3 linked regions of the Arabidopsis thaliana genome follow. The protein of the gene in region 1 purifies or fractionates together with the protein of each later gene. This does not show direct contact. Each region holds a gene or a part of one and is shown on either strand. Other genes may lie near its edges.

The links.
Region 2: the proteins of AT5G15220 (region 1) and AT3G18880 fractionate together in Arabidopsis thaliana (co-fractionation; one large-scale study listed by BioGRID). This does not show direct contact.
Region 3: the proteins of AT5G15220 (region 1) and emb1129 fractionate together in Arabidopsis thaliana (co-fractionation; one large-scale study listed by BioGRID). This does not show direct contact.

The regions. Positions count from the first base shown.
Region 1 is NC_003076.8:4,940,668-4,944,424, forward strand, and holds AT5G15220 (Ribosomal protein L27 family protein), read right to left. Parts: upstream 2,118-3,757; 5' UTR 1,707-2,117; exon of another isoform or gene 1,547-1,706; intron 1,480-1,546; 5' UTR 1,467-1,479; coding exon 1,370-1,466; intron 1,270-1,369; coding exon 1,145-1,269; intron 1,042-1,144; coding exon 799-1,041; 3' UTR 577-798; downstream 1-576.
Region 2 is NC_003074.8:6,507,640-6,511,202, forward strand, and holds AT3G18880 (Nucleic acid-binding, OB-fold-like protein), read left to right. Parts: upstream 1-1,860; 5' UTR 1,861-1,948; coding exon 1,949-2,110; intron 2,111-2,274; coding exon 2,275-2,430; 3' UTR 2,431-2,431; exon of another isoform or gene 2,432-2,606; intron 2,607-2,785; 3' UTR 2,786-3,063; downstream 3,064-3,563. Other genes in the region: AT3G18860 (transducin family protein / WD-40 repeat family protein), read left to right, coding at 1-36, 159-228, 434-499, 582-713; AT3G18870 (Mitochondrial transcription termination factor family protein), read right to left, coding at 876-1,700; Tic62 (NAD(P)-binding Rossmann-fold superfamily protein), read left to right, coding at 3,530-3,563.
Region 3 is NC_003070.9:18,280,949-18,284,705, reverse strand, and holds emb1129 (Nucleic acid-binding, OB-fold-like protein), read right to left. Parts: upstream 1,739-3,757; 5' UTR 1,551-1,738; coding exon 1,389-1,550; intron 1,252-1,388; coding exon 1,063-1,251; intron 867-1,062; 3' UTR 504-866; downstream 1-503. Other genes in the region: AT1G49405 (Uncharacterized protein family (UPF0497)), read left to right, coding at 1-94, 177-371.

The sequences.
Region 1 (3,757 bases):
TATACACATATCCTACTTTATGTATGTGTGCAAATGCAATTGGAAGGATTTATCATATACGATGAATGTATCGCATGGGTGGTTAGTATGCATTAATATGGACTGTTCTTAAGATTTGTGAATAAAGAAAAAAACAATGACATCTTCTTCTTCCTTTTTTTGTGTTATAAACGAAATGATTTTATTTTAATTGTATTGTTTTTGAATAGGAATGTGTAAAATTACAAGAAAATAATAATTCAAAAACTAAATATTGATGTGCATGGCAACTTGAGAAGTATTTGAGGAAACTTTAATGGCTAAAACAAGTTGGCTCTTGATTTCACATTATGCCAAAAACAAAGCTGGTTCGTCCATATATGATAATATGAGAGAAATTTATGTTTGAAATTTTAATTGAAATTTTAAACCCGATAGGATAAATATGTTTCTGATTCAATGAACGGATCTAGCCGCGTTGACGGGCCAGAGCCTGAGGCTTAGAATGTTGGCCCATTATTCGATGAGTTTATAACGGGCCGGGAAAACATTATCTCAGACTGTTACTTGTCTGTTTTGCGTAACACATATGAGAGAAACTCAGACTTGATTAACATCTATTTCCGAATAAAACTTGATTTGTTGAATCCAAACAAAGCCCTTCATCAAAATCCAGACAAAGACTAGAGGGAAACAAAACAGCAGATGTTATTGAATTGAGTGGTTCTGCTCTAAGATAGCATCATCTTTTACTCGAGAGATCACATGATCTAAAGGAAATGAAAACCACGTTTAGATTGTTGCAATCAGTATTCACGACTATGAAGCTGTCTTCAACTTAGTCGATTGAGCAGCTGCAGCTTTTGTGTAGATAGGGTGAAGAACATGACCACCTGTTGGATCAACATGAATCCATTTGCGTCCTGTAATCTTGCTTTTCTCGAACCTGACTCGTCCTTCCTTCAATGCAAACAGAGTATGGTCCTTACCAATCCCCACATAGTCTCCAGGATGAAACCGAGTTCCCCGTTGACGAACTATGATGTTTCCTGGTATCACACTCTGCAAAATCACACACACACACAGGCAAACATTATTTTCTTCACACAGACCAAGACTGATTTGATTATCAAAATCTTATCTCGCTTGTTATTTATTTTCTTACCTCTCCTCCGAATTTCTTAACACCGAGAAACTTGGGATTAGAGTCACGACCGTTCTTTGTAGAACCAGCAGTTTTCTTAGTAGCCCAACGCTTGAAGACCAAACTCAAGCCACTTGAAGAACCATCTTTAACATCCCCAAAACAAGAACAACAGCAACAATTACACAAATGAGTTAACTAGTTAAGATCATCAAAATATAGATTTTGAAAAGCGCAAATCTATACCGGAAATGCTACTGCCACTATAAGCAGGAACCTCAGTGATCAGTTCCCTCAAACTAACTCTTCTGCAAATGGATGCTGCTGAGTTTAAGAAATTCATTTTTTTCAGGAATCTGCAAGCAACAAAGAGCAATTCAAACATTAATCATTCAAGTAGAATCAAATCAATACTATACAAACCATTTCATCAAATCTTCTCGAGCAAATGGAGTTTTTTCATTCACACTCGAAACTCCACCATTGTCACAAACGTATTAACCTATTGACCTCAAAACCAATTACATTTCCGATCCGATTCCAACTCTCGAATGATACGGTAATAAGAAAGGAGGATACTTACCGGAAAATTTCGATTTCGATTAATTGCGAACGATGACAAGCGTGGCCGGAGATGACGACGGCGAGTAAAATGGCGTCGGCGACGGAAGCGCGATTAGGATGGAAGGGCCTAACTCCAAAACCCCTATTTGTCAAGTGTGAACTATACACGCCCGGAGGGTCCTCATGTTTTCATTTGTTTACATAACGACCCCTACATTTTCATTTGGATCAAAATTGATATATTACTAAAGAGAAATTTGCATAGTCTTTTGTGATTTTTTAGACAGTCAATTTTATTTAATTTTTGAAAATTTTGACACAAAAAAAAGTTGATAGTTCGGTTTTTGGAAAAGAAACCTAATCTAACCAAACTAGAAAAATGTCTTGTATATAACTTATTAGGTTTGTGCAAGTGTGAACAAGATGACATCATGAATGATGGATGATCATTATCTTTTATTTCTTGTAACATTAATAACAAAATGTTATACATTTTCTATACGCATGTGTTTGAAGAACAACTGGACACGATCTACAAGTTTATTTTGTTAGACAGTAATAATCAATATCCATGTGATGGATCACATGCTTTCAAATCTTTTTATTTGAAATCGCATTTCAATGGTCCTACGGTCCGTGCTTTGCCGTGCCGTACCCCGACCCTACAAGTTTCTTATACTAACCCCTTGTAATAAATTTTGTGTCACACCAATTATTTTATAAATCTAACTACAAAGATTCCTATAAATTAGTACCATACAGTTTCAACTAGATTAGGGGAATCAGTAGCTACAAATGTCTTCTACATTAGTAGGTTTGTCTAGCCTGGTTTAGCAAATTCAGACTTATTATAAATAAAATTAAGTTGTAGTCTCTCATAAACCGAATTTAAAACTTAAACTTAAACAAGACATCATCCTTGGCTTGAATCAAACATAATCTGAAGATAATGAAATGATCCAACTGGATTATACACCAACACTCTTATATATAATCTTCACCTTGGAGTTAAGCTTATTCATTGTCATTTCTTACAAGTTATCATGATCTTCTTATACATTTGTATATATCCTATACATAATATAATAACGAAGGTAAATCTTGTTTTCCGCCAATTGATCTGGCTAAATATATTTTCTCATTTACTTTTTTTTTTTTTTTTGTGACGTCTCATTACATACATATTATTGTTATTTTTGGGTATAAAACAACTTTAATCGTTACTAGAAAAGATAACATTTCTTATGAAAACCAAAAAATATCCCAATGTTCCCTCCTTTTCTCCGAGCAGATCGACTCAAAACAATAATTGGGTGAGCATGTGAAACTGGCTAAAACTGCACATGCCTTCTCTTTTTCTTTTCTTTTTTTCAACCTTTTATTTAGTTTTCTTTTACTTAAAACAACAACTTTATATGATCTGATATTCAAGTTGGGATGTGAATGCGCATTTATGTTTGGGTGTGCGCATATATACGTTTTTAGTTTGTTGCATATATATGTGTGTGTTTCAAGTTGCTTATTCTTTCGTTAATCGTGATTTTTCTTTCATTTCCCAACTTGAGATGCTAGTGGTGAGTTACCTGTGTTTTAAGGTTCACAGCACTTTTGTAATATCTCAAATCAGGTGTAACAAAAATGTTGTATATATATCTAGAATTCTAGATCGTAACTCTAAAACAGTATTCTTCTGTTAGCTACTAGTATTTCATTTGCCCTCGAATTATAACAGTGGATCTAGATCTGGTTTTTCTCTGGAAACATATCAGAAGAATTAGAGTAATTAATGAATTTATCTTGACTATCTAAAGAAATTATCTTGACTATATGTTCATGATCCGTCAACAAATAATGGTATTTGAATGAATAATAGTATAGTAAGAGTGTGATTATAATTTACAGTTGGGACCGTTGGTCAGATCTAACTCCCGTCTCCTTCTTCAATGCACCGTCCCACCTTTTTTTGTTCATTGTTAAAATACAATTTCAATTATCTTTTATAAACTCTGATAATATATTTGTGGTTAAAAAAACCCGTTCAATATTGTCTTCCCACCAAGCAAGCACCCA
Region 2 (3,563 bases), on another chromosome or scaffold:
GAATCTGCAGTTGGCTTATTCGACGTTGCTTCTCAAGTAAGATCTCTCTTATATTACTTTCTTCTAGTTGGATTTTTGCCAAATTGTAGCTTTATTCTATTATTAAACTCTCTGTGGAGAAAGATCAAACCGTAATCTATGCTTTTGTTCTTCCTCAGTTATGCAGTGCTATTAATAGAAAAGAAGGATCAAGAAGGTCAAGCTCAAGTCCTTTCAGCAGCTTTGCAGGTACGCCTAAATTTGGTTATTTTTAACCACTGTTGCATACATCCAAATCCTATTCATCGTCACCGAGTTGAATCTCATCTGTTTTTATTTTGTCTCTGTCACTTGCACAAATCTCTGAGATCAAAGTAAAATCGGAGAAGACCAATGTACCAAATAGTTTATTATCATTTTTTTGGTGCTAAAAATATTTAACTTATTACTACAGGTAGCAGAAGAAGAAGCTGCAGATGTTGATTCCAAGTTCCGGAGTCTGGTAGCAATTGGCTCACTGGTTAGTTTCCGCAACAACTAGAGTAACGTAATCCACTTGTTGTTAATTACATAATTTAATCGGTGTGTGTTTGTAACAACAGATGCTTGAAGGTCTCGTGAAGAAGATAGCGATAGATTTTGATGTAGAGAGCATCGCAAAATCAGCGAAGGCGTCAAAGGAAGCCAAGATTGCAGAAGTTGGGGCCGATATCGATCTTGTAATTCGTCAGTAACCTTAAAAGAGAGTCTGTGATCGAACCCGGGATTTGAATTTTCAATGATTCCCTCAAGAATTTTCATATGATTCAAAATCACTTTTCCTTGAAATGCAATTCAACTTTTTTGTTTTCAGATTTCTGAATACTAACATATGTTAAAACTTAAAAGATTATGGCTTATGGCTTCCATTTTGAGTAGAATTTTTGATCACCCCACATTAACATTCTACTAAGCGAAACCCTAACGTTCTTCTTCTTCAAATGCCAATGTCTTGGCCTTATCCTCTTCCCCAAGCTAAACGCAAAATACTGCGGAAACTTCTTGAGCTCTTCAAGTTCTCTTTCCATGTCGTAAACGAGAAACTCGAACTTGGGCCTCAAGTTATCTTCAACACTGTATCCGAATATCGCCGGGATTCTCCCACAGACTCTAGCTGCTTCCTCGTGTTCGAAACCTATACTCTTCAAGAATCTCATCTTTGCTCTTAGCTTCTCAACTCTCGTGTTCAGCACGTGCGCGTTCGTCTTGCTGGCTCGGTTCAGATTCCGTACCCCTAGCTCCTTAAGGTAAACAAGCGTCGGTCTCAAGCAATACTCAACGTCGGAGAAGAGGATGTTCGGGCAATTTACGATTAAGCCCCTGGATTCTTCTGCGGAAGCTCCAAGCTCGCCGGTGAGAAAATCGAAGACGGGATCGAGTTTAGAGATGTCGAAAGTGGGCGAGAAGAGCTGTGGACAGAGGAAAACGAGGCGTGGGAAATCTTCGTCGGAGATTCCTTTCGATTTGAGGAGATTCACGGCGGAGAGGATAACGGAAAGATCATTCGCCGGAGGAGCAAGTCGGGGATTCTGAGGAACAATTCCGAGAGAAGAAAGGTGTCTTAGATTTTCACGGTGTGAGGTTTGGAATTTTAGATAGAGAGGCTTAGAGCTTGAAGGAGAAGGAGGAGACGAGAAAGACGAGAGAGGTTGAAGATGATGAAGTGAAGCAATAACAGCCATATCGATGATTCTTCACTTCTTACTTCTCATCCCGGTTCGATTTTATTTATATCTGTTAAATAAACCAGAAATTAGCTTTTGAAGCGGTTTAGTATGAGGCCGGTTCTGTTAACTACTATACTTCATGGACCTTAATATAAATTGGGCTGAGATAACAAAGCCCATCATTATAAAACCCCTAGACCAGAAGAATCTTTTTCTCTTTGCTCTTTAGATTCTCAAAATCCAGAGAGAGCTCGTTAGGAAAAATGAAGGCAGTGATAGGGACAGTGGTGTCGAACAAAATGCAGATGTCGGTGGTGGTAGCCGTCGACAGACTCTTCCACAATAATATCTACAATCGATATGTCAAGCGTACTTCCAAGTTCATGGCTCACGATGAAAAGGACTCCTGTAACATCGGCGATCGAGTATTTTCCCCTTCATTTTTTGAATTTGATATACATTTGATCAAGAGCTCGAAAATTTAGGGAAGCTCTAGGAATATTTGAACTCAACCATTGGAAGTAGACTTGCCTGTTTGTTATTAGGCTGCTTTGGAAATGAAACTTGATTTGGTTGTTTGAAATATTAGGTGAAATTGGATCCTTCAAGGCCTTTGAGCAAGCATAAGCATTGGATTGTTTCAGAAATCATAAAGAAAGCACGCATTTATTCTCCACAAGCTGCTGCTGCGGCTCTCAATTCCTCAACCTCCATTGCTGAGCAGCCCCCTGTTTCGTCTTCCTAAGGTGATTTAGTTATTGCTCTCTAATTTTTTGTATCAGAATATTTTGTTTCAGTGTATTGTCCTTTGATACCTTTAGTGGAACTGCATGAGAATTGAACTTTGCTGTTTGACATTTGAGTTTTGATACTGTTTCTAAAGGTATGAGAGGCTATTGTGTGGCAATATAGCTTGTTAGGCATCTTGATGTTCCATTCTTAAGTTCTTGGAATCCATTTTGTGCTCCCTACATTTTCTGTGTCATACCCACTACGATTTATAGCTAGTTAGGCATCTTGATGTGCATCTACCGTAATCTATTTTTCTTACCTTTTTGGTTGGTTAGGCTTTAAAACTCTGACTGTTCCTCTTGCTGCAGTTTTGCAGTTCTGGCGCAAACTCACCCCAGGGTCGAACAATGTGGGTCGCAGACGTAGCACCATCAGAAACAGAGAATGTGGTAACTTCGAACATAATCCATCAAGCTGTAGTGTAGTGCTTTAGTAGATGATATTGATCAGATTTCGATCTCCTGATTACTTGTATAATTGATGAATCCGAAGTTACAGATTATCTATTGAAAGTTTGATGAATAATTTTCACTCTAGCGAAAAAAAGCTAATTCAAAAAGACCAACAAGTTTACAGAGATTGTGTTGGTCAAAATCTATTCATAAGTGATGTTAAGAAGACCAAACTTACTCATCTAATTGGATATAAGCATTTGGAGAAAGTAAACGCCAATATGTAACAATGCATATAAGAATCCAGCGCCAAAAGTATTCAAATTCTAATGTGTCCTATGAAATGATTCTGGTTTGGATCCAAGTTTTGGAACAAACCAAACCGAATTAGCCTTGCCATGTCAGCATACTCCAATCAAACATTGATTGGTCTCTTGTAATGTTATGTGGGTCCCATCATATCAAGATGCAGTGGCAGACGCAGTAGAACTCTTGCTGAGTCTCAATTGTATCCATAAAGATAATAAAATTTGTATATTTCCTCTTTCCTCTGAGATTCCTTTGTCTGATCGTGAACTTGTAGTAGTGTTTTCGTGATAGAAAATTTTCAAAGTTAATGTGCATACACTAGCTAGTGAAGAAGAAGAAGACTAACTAAGAATGGAAGGAACTTGTTTTCTCCGTGGACAACCTC
Region 3 (3,757 bases), on another chromosome or scaffold:
TCTGACGTTAGCAATGGTAGATATCTATTGTGTTATTCTCCAGCAACCATTTCAAAAGCCACGGATCCTTCTCGCTATCTCTATTGGTGATTGGGTAACGCTATTATATATCTAATGCTTACTGAGAAAAAAGAACAGAGTTTTTGACCCGAATTCACCAATTTTTGGTTTCGCAGGTGGTGTCTGTTCTAGCGTTGGCTTCAGCGTCATCGGCAGCTAGTGTTGTTGATATTCTGCGATCAAACGAATCCTCCTGCCCTCCAACAATATGCAACAGATATCAGTTTGCAGCAACATTAGCTTTCTTGACTTGGTTCTTGTCTCTCTCTTCTTCTCTCTTCAATCTCTGGTTACTTCCTTCTCTGATCTAAAACAAAACATAAATAGATAGGTAGCAAACAAAAAATTATCTCCAAAAACTCAAAACCTTGTAACTTTATAGATATCTAACTAACTAAAGAAAAGATTCATAATTTCAGGCGTTAAAGACCAAGGCACTGATGTTGGTGTTGGTACTGATCTTTAGTTTGTCATACTGGTGTCACAACTTGTAGAGCCAAAGATACATTTTCACTCATTGTTCCATACCCAAAATAACGAATGTAATAACAACTCATCACTATCTCACACTTCTGCTTAAAAGGCAATGCACTGATGATTTGCCAAAATAACATAAGAAGACAGAGTATCTTAACATGTGTTATTCATCTACTTTCACCAGATAATCTAGTACCATCATATAACTCATTATCATCTCAGGAAATCAAATATCACAGACATGATCCAAAAGCTTCGATGCAATATGCTCATAGTAACAACTCCTAGCAACTTTCTCGCTTCGCTATGCAACGTTTCTCTTAAAACAACTGCAGTAAGAAGAAAAAGGACGATAAGTCTATCGATTCCATAACGTTCAAGTATCTAATAACAATATGCATAATGTCACACATCAATACTTTAAGACTCACTAAAATCCATAAAATAGGATAATTCTCATCAAGTTCCAAAAATCAGCTGAAACTAGATATCTATGTACGTAAAGGACTAAAGTAATCAATCACCTTAAGAAGTAGATGATGGAGGAATCTGAGACTGAGCAGAAGAGTCAGTAGTGGAGGCTGAGGAAGCAGAAGCAGAAGCAGAAACAGCAGCAGCAGCAGCTTTAGGAGAATAAATTCGAGCTTTTTTGATGATTTCTGCAACAATCCAATGCTTATTCTTGCTCAAAGGCCTTGATGGATCTAACTTCACCTACACATCAACCAGATTTTCAAATTTCTTAGCCTCAGAGGTTCAATCACAAAGCCTAATTCAAGTGGCTCAGATTTAAAAGACGGAATCAAACGAAATTAGAGTGAAAGGGAAGAAGGAAATGCGAGAGAATTTACTCGATCGCCGATGTTGCAGGCGTCTTTGTCGTCGTGAGCCATGAATTTGGAAGTTCGTTTGACGTAGCGATTGTAGATTTTGTTGTGGAAGAGTCTATCGACGGCGACCACTACAGATTTTTGCATCTTGTTCGATACCACTGTGCCTATCACTGGCTTCATATTTTTTTTGCTGATTAACAAAGTTTTACTTCAAAGATATACTGAAATTTGGGCGGACAGGAGAAGATCACCGGAAACTGTGAACAAAATCTTCGCCGGGGAATCTGAGATGGTGGAAGAGAAGAAGAGTGAAATGTTTCGTTCTAGGGTTTCATGTTTTGTAAAGATGGGCTTTTTAAGAATCTCACACAAAGCCCAACTTAACTAATTGTTACTTAACGCGCTCGCTTATTTTTTTATTTTTTTATTTTCTTTTATTTTTTTAGCCCTCGCTTATAAGACCTTCACAAACTTATATTCAACCCCGTAAACCATCAATTAAAATAAAAGCAGTGTGCAAAAAAACATTAAACGGGCGGTAAAAACAATATTACAGTAAAACTAAACTAAATAACATTAAAAATAATACGAATCTTTTTTGTTTTGTATCTTCTTTGTATTTATAGTTGTTGTGATTTTGAGTTTTGTTATTTCTATAACCTAGAATTGAAAGAGAGAATTCTTTTCTTAACATTATTCATTAGTAGAGCATAAAAACATACATCACTCATTTCTCTTATCCACGTTTATAACAAAAACACAACACAAAAGCATAACATAGCTCTATGACACCTACAAGTCATTTTTCTTACATGCTATAGGACAACACTTTTATAAACCTATTCACTCTAGATTCTCCAGGATTTAAGCAAAAGCAAAAAGCACTTAATTCACTACTCCTTTAGATTGTAATTAACTTCCGATTCTTCTGCTTAGTTTCTTGAATCTCTTTACCGTAGCTTTAGTAACAAAACATACATTACTCAACAATAGTCCATATTAATCGAGTAGAAGTCACATAGCTCCACATGACAATTGCGGTAACCGCTATTTTCGTCATTTTCTCTGTTTTACAAGCTATCATTAACATGCCTTTGATAGAGTAGAAGTCACATAGCTCCACATGACAATTGCAGTAACCTTTATAACCTTTCATCCCAAAATCCATTCCACCGACAACAACGGTTTTGCTTTTATTTTTAAACAATTAATCATTATTACTCCATGTAGTCCTAATAAGTAATAGTGAAATGCCTTTTTCACTATTGTTAATTTTTTAAATTTTGATAAATAATATATCAAATCGAAAGCCTCGAGAAGAGGAATTTCTCTATAGCTTTAAAATTTTAAAAATCAAATGTATGTGATCGTGAAAACGCTTACAATATATTAGAAATGCTATATTGCGTAATATTTTTGATTTCACATGATTATTCTGCATTTTTTGAGGTGGAAAGTAAATTTGCAAAAAAATATAACTTTAAGCGTTTTTTGTACAAAATCCATATTTAGAAGATTTGGTTAAGATTTAAAATTAAGATTTTTTTATCAGCTTTGTTTGATTTTTTTTTTACTATTTTGAATCATCATATAATTCATAAAGTTAAGAAAAATCTTATAATTTTTGTGCATTAAAAAGGGACATATATTACCTAATTAATAAAAAGTTTGTGATTAACGTACCATATCGGCTAAAATGTTTAGGCAATGATTCATAGATATTATAATTTTGGTTTCTAGTTAAACTGTTTAATTTTACCGGAAATATTAAATTTAAAATTTTTAACTTTTATTTTGTAAAAATATTATCATTGATATATTTAAAATCAATAAACAGTTTATAATATTATGAACATTCGAATATATAAACAAATAACACGAGATATATTATATTGCCGAGCGGGGTTATATGGCGGAACTTTTGAATCAATATAAATAAAAAAAATTAAATATCATTAAGTCACGGCTTCAATACGGATTAAATACTACTCATTTTATTATTTTTCACACCACCAATATTAGACATATCGAATCATACTAATTTAGATAAGGGTACAAAACAAAAATTGTCTATTGGTATAACAATAACTTAATAACAATTATAAACTTTAAAATATAAATGTCTTATAAATTGATACAATTTGCAAAATTTTATATATAATACATAATCATTAAAATTTGAAAATCTCTACTTTCAAAAAAGCAAATCGTCCCACGAGTTAGTTTAGGAGTCAAGCGGAATTGAATATGAAATATATTTAAGTTTTGGGTTTAAGGGGTCTCAAATAGCAATTGATACTGGAAATGTTACTTAAGGGTTTAGAGTTTAGACTCTCTTTATTGTTGAAAGGTTACTTAAGGGTTTAGAGACTCTTTATTGTTGAAAT